Callithrix jacchus: one gene and its partners. The protein of the gene in region 2 interacts with the protein of the main gene of each other region in a biochemical or structural test. Links are inferred from orthologs where the notes say so. Each region holds a gene or a part of one and is shown on either strand. Other genes may lie near its edges.

The links. The genes of interacting proteins can lie anywhere in the genome.
Region 1: the proteins of PJA1 (region 2) and NSMCE3 form a complex in vitro, tested with the Homo sapiens proteins (2 studies listed by BioGRID). The link is inferred for Callithrix jacchus from reciprocal best matches to the Homo sapiens genes PJA1 and NSMCE3.
Region 3: the proteins of PJA1 (region 2) and melanoma-associated antigen D1 form a complex in vitro, tested with the Homo sapiens proteins (2 studies listed by BioGRID, with this or other methods). The link is inferred for Callithrix jacchus from reciprocal best matches to the Homo sapiens genes PJA1 and MAGED1.

What each region holds. Positions count from the first base shown.
Region 1 is NC_133507.1:7,525,691-7,530,217, reverse strand, and holds NSMCE3 (non-structural maintenance of chromosomes element 3 homolog), read left to right. Parts: upstream 1-1,835; 5' UTR 1,836-1,927; coding exon 1,928-2,815; 3' UTR 2,816-3,462; downstream 3,463-4,527. UniProt on the Homo sapiens protein: Component of the SMC5-SMC6 complex, a complex involved in repair of DNA double-strand breaks by homologous recombination. The complex may promote sister chromatid homologous recombination by recruiting the SMC1-SMC3 cohesin complex to double-strand breaks.
Region 2 is NC_133524.1:66,365,390-66,370,584, forward strand, and holds the start of PJA1 (E3 ubiquitin-protein ligase Praja-1), read right to left. Parts: upstream 3,575-5,195; 5' UTR 3,461-3,574; intron 1,560-3,460; 5' UTR 1,332-1,559; coding exon 1-1,331. UniProt on the Homo sapiens protein: Has E2-dependent E3 ubiquitin-protein ligase activity. Ubiquitinates MAGED1 antigen leading to its subsequent degradation by proteasome. May be involved in protein sorting.
Region 3 is NC_133524.1:52,078,867-52,083,863, reverse strand, and holds the start of melanoma-associated antigen D1, read right to left. Parts: upstream 3,366-4,997; 5' UTR 3,324-3,365; intron 1-3,323. UniProt on the Homo sapiens protein: Involved in the apoptotic response after nerve growth factor (NGF) binding in neuronal cells. Inhibits cell cycle progression, and facilitates NGFR-mediated apoptosis. May act as a regulator of the function of DLX family members.

The DNA.
Region 1 (4,527 bases), on a different chromosome or scaffold from region 2:
AGTAATGACAGTCTGCTATCTAGGTAGGAGTGCTGCTGAAGGACACTGCTGATTTTCACAGTCACAGGGCCTGACTGGCTGCTGCTTGGTAATGTAAGAGAATGAATACCTTAGCAAGAAGCAGCACTGAAAAACCAGCCCAACTGTGGACAGTAGCTTTTATCTAATTTTCCACTTCCCCCTTATATCTTGGCCACTGTACTTTTTTGACTCAATTTTTTCAAAATTCTAGATGGCAGGAAGCTTTTATGAACCTAAGTCCAAATTTTAATTTGCACGGAAACTGAACCAGATGAATTTTCTCATTGTAAAAAAAAAAAAAAAAAAAAAAAATGAATGCCTTGATAATATATTTGTTGTTCATAGTAGGCCTCTGTCATTAAGATTGATGCCTGAGGATGTAGTTGGATCTCGTGTGGAGCAGTAAGTTATTACTCTTTGCATACCAGATTCTAGCATACTTGCATTAGTTCATGGAATATGATTTTGCATTTAGTATTGCAGTTCCAGTGCCATTATCAGATTGCATTTTCCTACTGAATCACAAACAAAAGTGTTATGCTACTAACATTTAACAAAATTTTAATAAGGTTGTGTTTGATGCTATTATTCAGATAATGTGTTCTTTGAATATATTTGAAATTGCTTTCCTTTGAATATATTTGCATTAAAGAGGAAATCAATTTGATTTGGTTCTTTGAAGAGTTTATCCACTTTCTGGGTAGCTTTAAAAAGACAGGGAAATTCAGTTTCTTCTTTGCAAGTCAATAAATAGAGAAGAAACACATTTGCTAAGATCTGTAGAAGTACTGGCAGCAGACTGCTGATGGTTTCAGTTAATGAAATGACTCATTTTGGCTGCTTGAGTTGCACAATTAAAATACAGAGACTGCACACATCACAGATTATGAGGGATGGTACCCTAGTGTTCTCTTTTCTTTAAAGCTAATATATTACGAATTAAGAAATTTAAGAGATCCACATTATTGCAATTTTTGATGAGTCATGCCCCCAATTAAATGGTAATCTCTTGAGCGTGCACGTTTCTGTTTGCAGCATTCCTCTTGCCCATTTCTGTTAAAATTGTGGTTGTGAGCCCAAAGCAGTGGTTTTATCTTTTCGAAAAGATACACTCACTTGACAAACTACAACATTACTTAATATTGACACGTTTCGTGTTGTTTTCTCATAGTTGTCTAGCTAGAGTTTAATGCAAAATATATAAATACGGAAATAGTGAAACCGAAGTCCTGCTTGCGAGGAAAGCCTGCCGCAGACTTTGGTTTTTAACAGACTCCCCGGGGCATTAGGGAAAGTAACTGGGGGTAATAGGTTGGAGGGTATGAAATTGGGCGGAGGGACGAAAACTAAGAACCCTTGGGGCTTTTTATGTCCTCCCACATTTTGTGTAGAAATAAATGCTTTTACTTTACTTCCAAAGCCGTACCTTCCTCTTCACCTTTTTTATTTCCCCCCCCCTCACATATTGATCTTTGAGATCTTGACAAATGCTCCCGATTTACAAACGCATCATACTGTCTGTAAAACTTGCCTGAGCCTGTGTGGTCCTGAATTTAGCCACACACTTGTTTAGGGATTTTGGTTCTCGTCCTCCGCTTGCATGGTTTGGTAAGAACACTTCACTCTACTAAAAATCATCGCCCGGACCAGCAAAGGCTGCACAAAAAAAAACGCTATTTGATTTTGTACCCGCGGCAGCCGCGCAGGCGCACCGTCCAGCCGCCGCGACGCAAGGCGCAGGCTTAGTGACGCAGCGCGCAGCCTCCGCCGTCGCCGCGCGCCCCTCCTGTGGCCCCGCCCAGGGCCTGGCGTCCGCTTGTTGCGTCGACCCACATTCCCGCCGCGGCTGCTTGCGGGCCGGAGTGTTTGCCGGCTGGAGTCTGCGCCGGAGCCCGCCGCCGGTAACATGTTGCAAAAGCCGAGGAGCCGGGGCCGCTCTAGCGGCCACGCCGAGAGGGTCAGAGACTCGAGCCAAGGCGGAGACGCCCGGGCCCCCAGAGACTGCGTTGCCGAGGAGACCCCGAGCACGTCCCGCGGGTCGGGCGGCTCGCAGGGGGCGCGGAGCTCCTCGCCTCAGGGCGCCCGCGGTTCTCTGGCCGCCCCCGCCGTGGGGCCCCGGACCCAGAAGCAGCTGGAGCTGAAAGTGTCCGAGCTGGTGCAGTTCTTGCTGATTAAGGACCAGAAGAAGATTCCGATCAAGCGGGCCGACATACTGAAGCACGTCGTCGGGGACTACAAGGACATCTTCCCCGACCTCCTCAAACTGGCCGCCGAGCGCCTCCAGTACGTCTTCGGGTACAAGCTGGTGGAACTTGAACCCAAGAGCAACACTTACATCCTCATCAACACCCTGGAGCCCGTGGAGGAGGATGCCGAGGTGAGGGGCGACCAAGGCACGCCCACCACGGGCCTCCTGATGATCGTCTTGGGGCTCATCTTTATGAGGGGCAACACCATCAAGGAGACTGAAGTCTGGGACTTTCTGCGGCGGCTAGGGGTCTTTCCTACCAAGAAGCATTTGGTTTTCGGAGATCCAAAGAAACTCATCACTGAGGACTTCGTGCGACAGCGTTACCTGGAGTACCGGCGGATACCTCACACCGACCCCGTGGACTACGAATTCCAGTGGGGCCCACGAACCAACCTGGAAACCAGCAAGATGAAAGTTCTTAAGTTTGTGGCCAAAGTCCATAACCAAGACCCCAAGGACTGGCCAGCACAGTACTGTGAGGCTTTGGCGGATGAGGAGAACAGGGCCAGACCTCAGCCGAGTGGCCCAGCCCCATCCTCTTGAAATCCGAGGTGGATTCAGAGGGAATCTCGGGACAAGAGTCTGAGACCCAAAGGCACATTGTAGAGGGATGGGGGAAGGGAGAACCCAGGGAGCATATTTCTGTAACGCTTCAATGTGTGTAGCTTTAGGATGTGTTTGCACAGTTTTGTTCTTTAACGTTGTGTTATTTGGTTCCAGATTTTCATTTATAAACAAAGGAGGATTTGTTTTGTTTTGATTTTACTGTTTTTGGTATGAAAAATTTTGTTAGCTTAGTAAAACGAGTTGGAAAACTTGACTATGATCTGGAAGAGATATGCAAGAAGAAACACAGTGAGTTGCTTTGCTGCCAAGAAAATAAAAGCAAGCTAGCTATTATTGGGTCTCATAACTACCCCAGTTTGTAAGGAAAAATAAAAGGTTTTATAAAATTAAAAATAACATAATTGCCCATATCCTTATTACCTTAACCTATTTATTTTTTTTATATTTCATACATATATAAGTATTATTCATGGTTCCAAGCAATGAACATGGTATGTTTTCTCCAGATAGCAATTATTTTTATTCGTAATTATTCAGCTTGGTTGCTAAACATGTAGTTCCACTTAGTTTTTTTTCTTCTTGCTACTCTATTATAATAAATGCTGTGTTTTTGAAACAGTTAAGCATTGTGTGTTTTTAAAATCGTGTTGTTTCACTTTTGTATGTGTGTACAGGATCATGAGGTAAAATGTATTTCTCACTCTGGCTCTCAAAAAAGCTTTTAAAGCAATAGCATAACCATTAACCGTGCCTGCTTGGAAATCGGACTGCCTGGGTTCAGATCCTGGCTACACCATAACTCTGACATGAATTTACGTAGGTTCCTTGCTGTATGCAGATGTTTCCTGACCTGTAAAGTGGGTTTAGTCCCTGATGTGGAGGATTTTACTTGTCAGTTTATTCTTTAATTTGTTAATTTGGTTTTTTTTTCCTCCTTGATCTGGAGCTGCCACTTTAATTATCCTTTTCTAAATCATTCCTATGGGAACAATTACTGGTTCAAAAGGTGTATTCCTCTAGTCTGACTCTATTATATGTATAGTTTTATGGGGAAATATAATGTGTGTGGTGAGTATAACCCACATTCAACAGTGGGAGCACGAGGGTGAGATATAAGATCTACCCCTTAGGGTATAGGAAATAGCTATAGGGAAAAGGATATGGGTCTTGGAGCTGTCTGGCAAACTGAATTTGAATTATGGCTCATGCTAACTTGTCAGCATGGTGATTGTGCGGGTAGGTTTTAAGCGCGGAATCTCAATTTCTTTATCTGTAAAATGAGAAAAATAATAGCCATCTAATAGTTTGTTTTATGGACTGAATGAACTGGAAGAGTTCATAGCCCCATCGTATTCCTCCACTACATAGAGCAGATGCTGTTTTATGCAGAGGTTCAGCATCTCTGAGCTCTTTTGTAAATGAACCCATTTCTTCCATGGGTAAATAAGTGTTAATTGTTTTAGAGGGAGGTGCTGCAAATGAGCCTTGGAATACGGCAAATACTTTTCACTGGAGGATAAAAGTGAACTTCCTCAACATCGAACTGAATGTCATTTAAAAGGCTCTCCAGTGAGTACGGAGGAATATGATAGGTTACTAGGTTTTATTTCATTCTGTTGACTTGGGATTTGCATTTGTTTCATCAGCGGAATATATTTGGTCCTTGTAGGCATTTCTTGTTGATCTGC
Region 2 (5,195 bases):
CGAACTTCTTCAAGGTAATTGCTGCCATTGCTGCCAGCACTAGCCCCGGCACCAGCCCGGGTGCTGGCACTAGCACCAGGGCCAGGGCCGGGGTTGGCACTCACCCTAGCCTGTGGAGGTTCCCGCTCTTCTTTCCCCGGCAGAGTATCCCAGCTTTCGCCACTGGAGGACAGGGTTTGCTCTCGGCTTCGATACTTCCGACGCAGAGCAGCAATCCACTCCTTGTCACTGTCAGAGTCTTCATCGCAGTATTTGTAGTAATCATCACTGTACGTCCAGAAGTCAGGGTCGGCCATGGTGCGTCGTCGTCTTGGCACCTTTTCTGGTTTCACTTGATCATTCCTGGCTTCCCGCTTGTCCTCAGGGTACTTTGGCTCAGAATAGCCACTTGAACTCTCGCCTCTGCCTCTTCTTGCCAGGCCATCCGAATGGCCTTCGTTGTTGGTGGTGGTATCCCTCCACCTCGAAGTACTGTGTGGCATATCATCATCATCATCAGTATCAAAAAAAATTTTTGGTTTCATGCAGTTTGGACTTGCCAGGTTTCTGATTTTGGGCCTGACCACAGGTTCCTCTGCACTCTTTGGGGTGTTTTCCCCACCACCACAAATACTCACAGGAGCCCTGCTGGGACGTGCAGGTAAATTCTGCTCCCTCCTCTCCCTCTCCAAGCTGTCACCTTTTGTAGCCACCTTGCCTTCGGCAGAAGAAGACTGTGAGGCCACACTACTTTGTGGCAGGAAGTCAGCTCTGCTAGCTGAGCATCTTGCTGCAGGGACTGGGTCTAACTTGTCTTGCTTCTCTTTCACATCACGGCTAAAACTAGAGCACTGTGGAGATGGCCCAGCCAAAGACCTTGCCCCTTTCTCTGGGTCATACAGCTTATCATCTTTAAACTTGCCAGTTTTCCCTCTCACTGGCGGTCGCTCAACAGGCCCAGCCCCCTCCTCCTCACTGTCATCTGCCCCATAAGAGTCAATATGTCCATAGGTCATTCCTCTTCTGCTACCCGAAGCCCTGTACTCTCTTGGTGGATACCTGGAATAGTCCTCATTATCAATATTCAGGGTGGTTCCGGAACTCTCACTGTTGTCCCAACTACGACGAGTTGTGGAAAATGGTGATCGGCTCCTCTTGGTGGTTTGACTGGGGGCTGTTCTGTGCATTGGGACTTTGGAGTTCGTCTTTCTCTGGCTGGCAATCCTTTCCCGCTGGCTTGTGGATGGCCTGAAACTGACATAAGCATGCCTTCTTCCATACCTCCTACCTGTATTGGACTGATACCCTCCTGTTGGTTCGGGCCATACAGGCTTGCTAGATTCCTGACCCATCACTCTGACTTTGGAGGGTTTCCAATACAGCTGGGGCTTGGGTAGGAAGGCTCCTGCTCCCAGCACACGTTTTTGAGATGGGAAAGTAAAATCAGTTTAGAATAAAGGAGCAGGGAGATTTACTTTCACTTCAGCAGGCAGGTAACAGAAAGGATAAGGGGCCTTTAAAATTAGTTTCACTTTCTTCTAAGGCCTGGAGTAGCATTCCAGTGACTGTCAGGTGTAGACCTGGAACACATTTTTAATGTTGGCAAAATGATTACAAAAGTAGGTTTGCAGGAAAGCCAGACTTAGGGGAGAATCTGACGGAAGGTGGGGGGTGATCAGATGCTTGGAAGGTGGGTGAAGTACTGTGAAATTGTGCCAACGTGGGGAGAGGAAAGACTGCTGTGGTTTTTTTTTAATGGGGTGTCTGCGTTTTTCTGAGCACTGCAGACACACAGGAGAAATGCAAATTGGAATAGAGTGGAAAATACAGATCACCATGTGTGCATGAGTGCCTATGTGTCTGTCAAGAGGAGAGGGACAGGTGGAAGGGGACCAGCAATCCTGCAACAGACAGATGTTTATGTTTGTAGGGGAAAAATGTATGAGTGTTAGCATGAGACCCATTCTGGGTGTCGGTATGAAAATGACAGGCATGGGTGGGGTGGCTTTGGAGGAGAGGAATGCATGGATGTATGAAGAAAGGGAAGGTGTTTGTGTGTGTAGCTGTATGTGTGGCAGCTGAAACTACAGAAGGATGCCTGTGTTTATGTGTATGTCATGGGCAGGGGAGCGTATGGTTGGCAATGGAGAGGAGTGTCCGAGAGTTTGTGTGTGTGTGTGTGTGTGTGTGTGTGTGTGTGTGTTAGTCAAAACGGGAGGCAAAAATGGAGAAATGTCAGTGTCAGCAAATGCAGCAGGCACAAATGGAAGCCGGGGCTGGGGGGCAGCACCGGAGAGAGATGTGCTTGAGGTGGATGGAACAGAGGCAGACAATCAAGGAATGATGTCTGCCTCCTGTGTGGATATGGCAAGGAGGGTGGCAGGTGGTGTAAACCCGTAGAAGGGTTTATGTGAGTGTGAGTGTGCGCACCTCGGGGACCAGCAAAGGAGAGCTGTGTCTGACACATGTGACAGAGGGAGCAGGAGAGGAGAGCATTTGAGAAGGGGGTGTGAATGAGCACATGTGGCTGCATATGTATGTCACTGCTCAGCAATAGAAGGATGTCCGTATGTGTGTATATGACAGGCAGTGAGAAGGAGTGCGGCCGGAGGGGGTGTGTGTGCTCAGGCATGTGTTCGTGAGAGCACGCAGAGGCTGAGCAGGGGAGGGGGCCGCTGCTAGAGGTGTGTATGTGGTAGCTGGGTAGAGGAGGGGGAAGGCACGGGAGAGTGTGAGGGTGTGTGCTGCGTGTGCCTGCGCATGCGTGGGGGAGGGGACGCACTGGAACCTTGAGGATGGAGGGGCAAGGAGGGGGCTGCAATGCAAGGCTTCTGTACGCGCGCCCGTGCTCGCGAGACACGGAGGGGTGAGGGACACAATGTCATAATAAGAGGTGGGAAAAGGCTATCAGGTCAAACAGGAGACCCAAACCGATGTGGCAAGGGAGAGGGAAAATGAAAGAAAAGGGCGTGCATGGGTCTACTTCTCCCTGAGAATAATTATTTTTTCTTGACAAATTTTTCCCTGGGGACGGTATTTTTACCTAAAAATCTTAACCATTTACCATTGACAAAACAACAGCAAAATATGGGAAGAAAGGCCACGGAGTACTCCGCAAAGGCGCTGAGGAGGGAAGAAGGAAGGAAAGGGGAGGAGAGGCAGGGAGAAGTGGGAGAGGGCCGCGACCACCACTGCCCTCCCAATAGCAATGAAAGCCACTCGAGTGGGGACCGCGCCACACGCAAGGGGTTCTGGCAGAGGAGGATGCAGCCCCAGAACAGGCCGATGGAGGACACGGGCCTCACTCTGCAGTCAGGTCCCGCGTCCACCCCACCCCTTCCCGAGGGGCGAACCTGAAAAGCAGTTCCCAGGAACCCCCCAAAATCCTCGCCCCTATGCCTGGCCACTAGCCCCAAGCCCGGCCACTCGCGCCACCGCCAGCTCACCGACGAATCAAGGAAACAATCAGCCTTTCACTCACCAAGTCCAGAAAGCCACACGCTCTTCAGAGGAGCAGAGCTCTCAGACCTCCGACCACCACGACCGCCAGAGCCGCTGCTCCCGGTGTTGAGCTCCTCCCCCGCCAGACAGCAACGGGGCGGGCAGCTACTGCGGCGGCGGAAGTGATTCTGAAGTCAGCTGGAGCCCGCCCCCTTAATGTGGCGGGGGCGGCAGCTGCTCTCCACAAATCAGTGTGGGCCCGAAAGCATTATTTCATCTTAAATGATGAAATCGTCAAGGATACAGAAAAGGACAGCGAAAAATGTCATCATCACCCAGTTTTAACAAATGTTAAACATTTAGCTTAATTCCCTTCTGGGTTTTTTAATAAAATGAAATTTGCAGATTCTTTCTGATTAAGTCCAATGTGAGAGTAATTACGTTACTACATCACATCCTACGTTATGTATTATGGTTGTACTGAAAGTATTAAAACTGTGAAACTATATTTAGGGTTGCAGTAGACTTAAAATTTTTTTAACCTGATGGTTGAAGCAAATTGAAGCTGTTTAGTGTTGAATTTTTTGCTGCTCATCACAAAACCAAGCTTCTCTTTCAAAGAGATCATAAGACACAACACAGGTTCATATTCTGGTATTGCACTGCAGTTTAAAAATATTACAGTTATGCCTTTTGGATTTACACAATTTTACTGAATTCTAAAGTCTTTAAATTGCACTTTATAATGAAACTCTAGTATTTCTGGTATTTACAGCCAATGTAAACACTTCATATGTTCACAACAGTAGCAAAGTTTTGTTCTTACTGGAAATAAAATGCGTAATAGAGCAAAAACTTTAGGGGTAACAACATAATAGAAATACAATGTATAACTTTCAAACCATGAAAGTAATAATATGTGGAACAAAGAGAAAAACTCAATCTTAACAAAGGGCAAGAAACATTGCTGGGGGGGATGCAAAAAGAATACAAAAATGCAGAAATAAACCTGAATAGATCAGCATCATTATGGGTTAACATCTCCTAATAAAAGTCAAACTCTTATTTTGAGCATTTTGTTTTTAAAAGTCCAGTTATATACTATTCTTGTGAGTTAAAGTTCTAAAGCAGAAATAGGAATGAAAAATATATGACAGCAAAATACTAGCAGAAAAGTAGGAAGGGAGGGAGGGAAGACGGGAAGGAAAGAAGCAAAAATAGGAAAAGAAAGAAAAAAGAGACTCATAACAATATCAATATCCTAAAAATCAAGAACTCAAAAAGGACTAAAGAGAACAAAACAGGTTGTTTTATTCACTGAGAAAGATATGACAAGCTGGCAGTGTGTGTCTGTAGTCCCAATTACTTAGGAGGCAGAGGCAGGAGGATTCTGGGAATCCAGGAGGTAAAGGCTGAAGTGAGTGGAGATCGCACCACTACACTGCAGCCTGGACAACCAAGCAAGATGCTGTCTCAAGAAAAACTAATAATAATTATAGAATTTCATTAGTGAGAAATATGGAACTATCAAATTTTTTTTCTCTTTTTTTTATTGCATTTTAGGTTTTGGGGTACATGTACAGAACATGCAAGATAGTTGCATAGGTACACATGTGGCAGTGTGTTTGCTGTCTTCCTCCCCCTCACCCACATCTGGCATTCCTCCCCATGCCATCCCTCCCCAGCTTCCCCCCCCACTGTCCCTCCCCTATTCCCCCCAATAGACCCCAGTGTGTAGTGCTCCCCTCCCTGTGTTCATGTGTTCTCATTGTTCA
Region 3 (4,997 bases), about 14 Mb from region 2:
CTGGCCGGGCGCAGTGGCTCACGCCTATAATCCCAGCACTTTGGGAGGCCGAGGCGGGTGGATCACGAGGTCAAGAGATCGAGACCATCCTGATCAACAAGGTGAAACCCCGTCTCTACTAAAAATACAAAAATTAGCTGGGCACGGTGGTGCACGCCTGTAGTCCCAGCTACTTGGGAGGCTGAGGCAGAATTGCTTGAACCCAGGAGGCAGAGGTTGCGGTGAGCCAAGATCGTGCCATTGCATTCCAGTCCGGGTAACAACCGGGAAACTCCGTCTCAAAAAAAAAAAAAAAATTTAGGCTGGGCATGGTGGTTCACCCGTGTAATCCCAGCATTTTGGGAGGCCAAGGTGGGCAGATCACCAGAGGTCATGAGTTAGAGACCAGCCTGACCAACATGGTGAAACCCTGTCTCTACCAAAAATACAAAATTAGCCAGGCGTGGTGGTGCATGCCTGTAACCCCAGCTACTCAGGAGGCTGAGGCAAGAGAATCGCTTGAACCCAGGAGTTGGAGGTTGCAGTGAGCTGAGATGGCACCATTGCACTCCAGTCTGGGTAACAAGAGCAAAACTCTGTCTCAAAAAAGAAAATTTTAGCTGGGTGTGGTGGGTGTGGTGGCATGTACCTGTAGTCCCAGCTACTCAGGAGGCTGAGGCACAAGGATCACTTGAGCCCAGGAGATCGAGGCTGCAGTGAGCTTTGATCATATGTCTGTACTCCAACCTAGGCAACAGAGCTAAACCCGGTCTCAATTAAAAAAAAAAAAAAAAAAAAAAAGAAAAGACAATCATGGAAATTTGAATATAGACTGAGTATTAGATGATATAAAAAATTATTATTGACTAGGTGCAGTGGCTCACACCAGTAAATCCCAGCACTTTGGGAGGCCAAGGTGGGTGGATCACCTGTGGTCCAGAGTTCGAGACCAACCTGACCAACATGGTGAATGAAACCCCATCTTTACTAAAACTACAAAAATTAGCCAAGCATGATGGCAGGCTCCTGTAATCCCAGATACTTGGGAGGTTGAGGCAGGAGAATCACTTGCCAGGAGGCAGAGGTTGCAGGGAGCCAAGATCACACCATTGCACTCCAGCCTGTGTAACAGAGCAAGACTCATCACAAAACAACAGAAAAAAAAAAAAGAAGAAATTATTTATCTTACTAAGTAAAATAATGATGTGGTGGTTACTTAATGCACCTATAAATTAGAGATACATAGTGAGTTATTTACCTGTGTGATGACATATCTGGGATGTGGGGAAAAAAACAGGTGAGGAGATGCACAGTGGGCTGAAACGAATGTGATAATATTTAAATGATACGTAATAATGATTTGAATAAACAGACATCAGCAATACTCTTTGGAAATGTTCCTAAGGGTTTTGGTGTCACAAAAGCTCTGCCTCATTGTGTATTCTTTTTTTTTTTTTTTTTTCTGAGATGGAGTTTCGCTCTTGTTGCCCAGGCTGGAGTGCAATGGCGCAATCTCGGTTCACTGCAACCTCCGCCCCTGGGTTCAAGCGATTCTCTTGCTTCAGCCTCCCGAGTAGCTGGGACTACAGGCATGCTAATTTTGTATTTTTAGTAGAGACAGGTTTCTCCATGTTGGTCAGACTGGTCTGGAACTCCCGACCTCAGGTGATCTGCCCGCCTTGGCCTCCCAAAGTGCTGAGATTACACACGTGAGCCACCGCGCCCAGCCTGTTTATTCTTTTTTTTTTTTTTTTTTTTTTTGAGACGAAGTTTCGCTCTTTTTACCCAGGCTGGAGTGCAATGGCGCGATCTCGGCTCACCGCAATCTCCGCCTCCTGGGTTCAGGCAATTCTCCTGCCTCAGCCTCCCGAGCAGCTGGGATTACAGGCATGCACCACCGTGCCCAGCTAATTTTTTGTAATTTTAGTAGAGACGGGGTTTCACCATGTTGACCAAGATGGTCTCGATCTCTTGACCTCGTGATCCACCCGCCTCGGCCTCCCAAAGTGCTGGGATTACAGGCTTGAGCCACCGCGCCTGGCCTGTTTATTCTTAAATAAAAACTATCCATGGCCTAGAAAAGAGGATCACCCCTTATTTTGGCAAGCATAACACACAGGAGGGAGTAAACTGCTTGTTCAAAGAAAACTTTGGTTAAATTCCTCTTTAGATTCTGATAGAGCCTGAAAAACTCTGATTCTCACCATAAATTTAATGATCATTTGAGTAAAGGCAATAATAAACTGTGATTATTATTTAATAACTGATGTTCTCACAAGATAAATTTGACATGGTAACAAATGTAACAGAAAAGTAATTTCATATTGCAACAAATAGATTATGTAATACTTGCAAAGCTCTGAGAAAAAGTCTTTGTCTCAAAAAATGTCAGCTTGGTGCTTAATGCTGCTATCAGAGACCAGAAAATAATTTGCATAATAAACTCAACTCATATAAAGTAATAAATTTGTGGCTGGATACCACGCCTGTCAACCATTTCTCCACTAACTTTTACAGGGGATGGGAAAGTTTACGCTCTCTGAAGCTCTGACACCTGGTTATAGGTATAATCCACTACGTTTGCCGCCCCCCCCAAAAAAATTTGGGGATTCAATCCTATGGCAACATAAAAAACAGATGCAACGAGAAGACAGAAATCTGTGCAATAGTATCTAAATGATGTGTAATTTTGTTTAGAGTTAAAAAAATAAAAGAACATAATTCGAACAAGTGCCTATGTCTCTTAGGGCTCTAAGGTTTCTGCTTCTTTCCTTCTACTTTAAAAGAACCAAAAAAGAAAAAAAAAAAAAAAAAAAAAGCCTTGACCTTGAAGTCACACCTACTTTTGCAAAGTACGTAATTCACTGGTCTCTGGAGGAGGGGAACGGGAAAGACCAAAGGCCAGCAGCGGGAGTAAAACAGGGTTTAGGAAGGGGCTTGCAAAGAGTCGCAGGCTAAAAGGATGCGGGGCAGAAGGCGGAGGTAAGAGGTAGGAGATAGGAGTGACCTGTGGTAGAGGGAATGTGATTGAGGGAATGACCCTGCCTCCAGACCGGAGAAGAGGATCTGGGATAAAGAAGAGAGGTGAAGCATGACCGAGAGTCAGGTAGATAAAAAGGACCACAAGAATCGGGAAGGGGAGTCGGATGGGACCTCCCATCTCCGGAGGAGAAGGGAGGAGACAGTGAAGCTATCAGAATCACATGCGTCAGAAGCATCCTTCCTACAACGTACGCGGGGATGAATTCTCCTTTCCACCCCATGTTGAGGCACAAAAGGAGGTCTCCCTGGAGTGTATCGGTATTTATATGTGAGAATTACCAAGACCCCTTCTTTACACTCACCTTGACGGAGAAGGCAGCGACGATGGCGTGACCGGAAGTGCTGTCCTCTTTTGTTTGGCGGAAGCTTTAGCTTCTGCAGCAGCCACCCCCTCCTTCACTTCAGGCGACTTCCTGTGCCTCTCTAGCAAGCTCTGCAATGCTCTATCTCATTGACTCCCTCACTAGATCAACACCTACATTGTGCTGTAAACGGGCTGAGAGAATCACGAACTTTTTACAAATCCTAGTTCTAGTCACGCCAGGAGCTGCAGTATCTCTGCCAAATCCATCAGGTGCAATTTGCCACCTCTCATTGATTCGCCTTAGAAATATCTCCCTTCATCTTAGTCCCTTAACTTAGGCCTCATTTTTCTCTGTCTTGGATGTCTACAGTGACATATTTACCAAACTGATTTACTGTTTCTGGCACACCACTTTGAAAAAATTCCATTTGTATTAGCGGTATGTGTCAACCTTTTCAAAACATCTTAAGTCTAAACAACTTTTGCTTTGAAATCGTATCCAGAGTTACATACCATACTCAAATGTCCAAAGAATAAAGCTGGACTCCTGTAGAAAGCATTCTTGCATTATTTTACATACTCCCCAAGAAAAGGAAGAAAATGAAAACTGAAAAAAATGTTTCAATAATTTTTTAAAAACTCTACTCTGGTTAAATACCTTCAGAACAAGTTTAACATTGAATTATTTATTGACACTACCTCCAGAAAGTTCTCCTGGCCCCCAAATCTAGACCACAGTTCTCACCAAAGGGGAGGATCTCTTTTTGTGGTTATTTTTAGTCAATCCACAAGTATATACTGAGCACCTACTATGTCCCAAATACTATGCTACACCCAGAGACACTACACTAGAAGCCCACAGCCTAGAGCTAAAATGACATTTAAACACTTAAGAGCCTAGCATAAAATATGTGTTTATCAATATTTGTTAAATTAATAAATGACCAAAATGTGGTCAGAGCAAAGAAGGAAACTAGCAATAAGGTCCTTAGTTTTGTTGGCATTTTTACAATTTATTTCAACAATTTGAATCACATTTCCCACTAAACAGTGCTTTAGCTGAATCCCATCAATCTTCATATTTTGTATTTTGATATTTTTATATATTGATTTTATCTTTGTAGTTCCTTTTTTTTTTTCTTTAGTAAGACAGGGTTTCACTCTGTTGTCCAGGCTGGAGTGCATTGGCATGATAATAATTCACTGTAACCTCAAATTCCTAAGCTCAAGTGCTCCTCCTGCCTCAGCCTTCTGAGTAGCTAGACTACAGAAGCATACCACTATGCCTAGCTAATCCTTTTTATTTTTTGTAGAGATGGGGTCTTGCTTCCTTACCTAGGCTGCTCTTGAACTCCTGGGATTACAGACATGAGCCATTGTGTCCAGCCTGTACTTCCTCTTTGACCCATGGGTTCTTTAGAAATGCATGTTTAATTTCCTGTTATTTTTCCACTGTTGGATTTTTATGATCAGCAAACTTACAGTATATTATTTCAGTTCTTACATTTGTTAAATTTTGTCTTATGACTTAAGATTTGGTCAATTTGGTGAATGTTCCATGTACACTTGAAAAGAATGTGTATATACATTCCACTGTTGTTGAGTGAAATGCACTAGCACTATAAATATCAACTAGAGATAACTGATAGTGTTCTTCAGTTATTCTGTATTC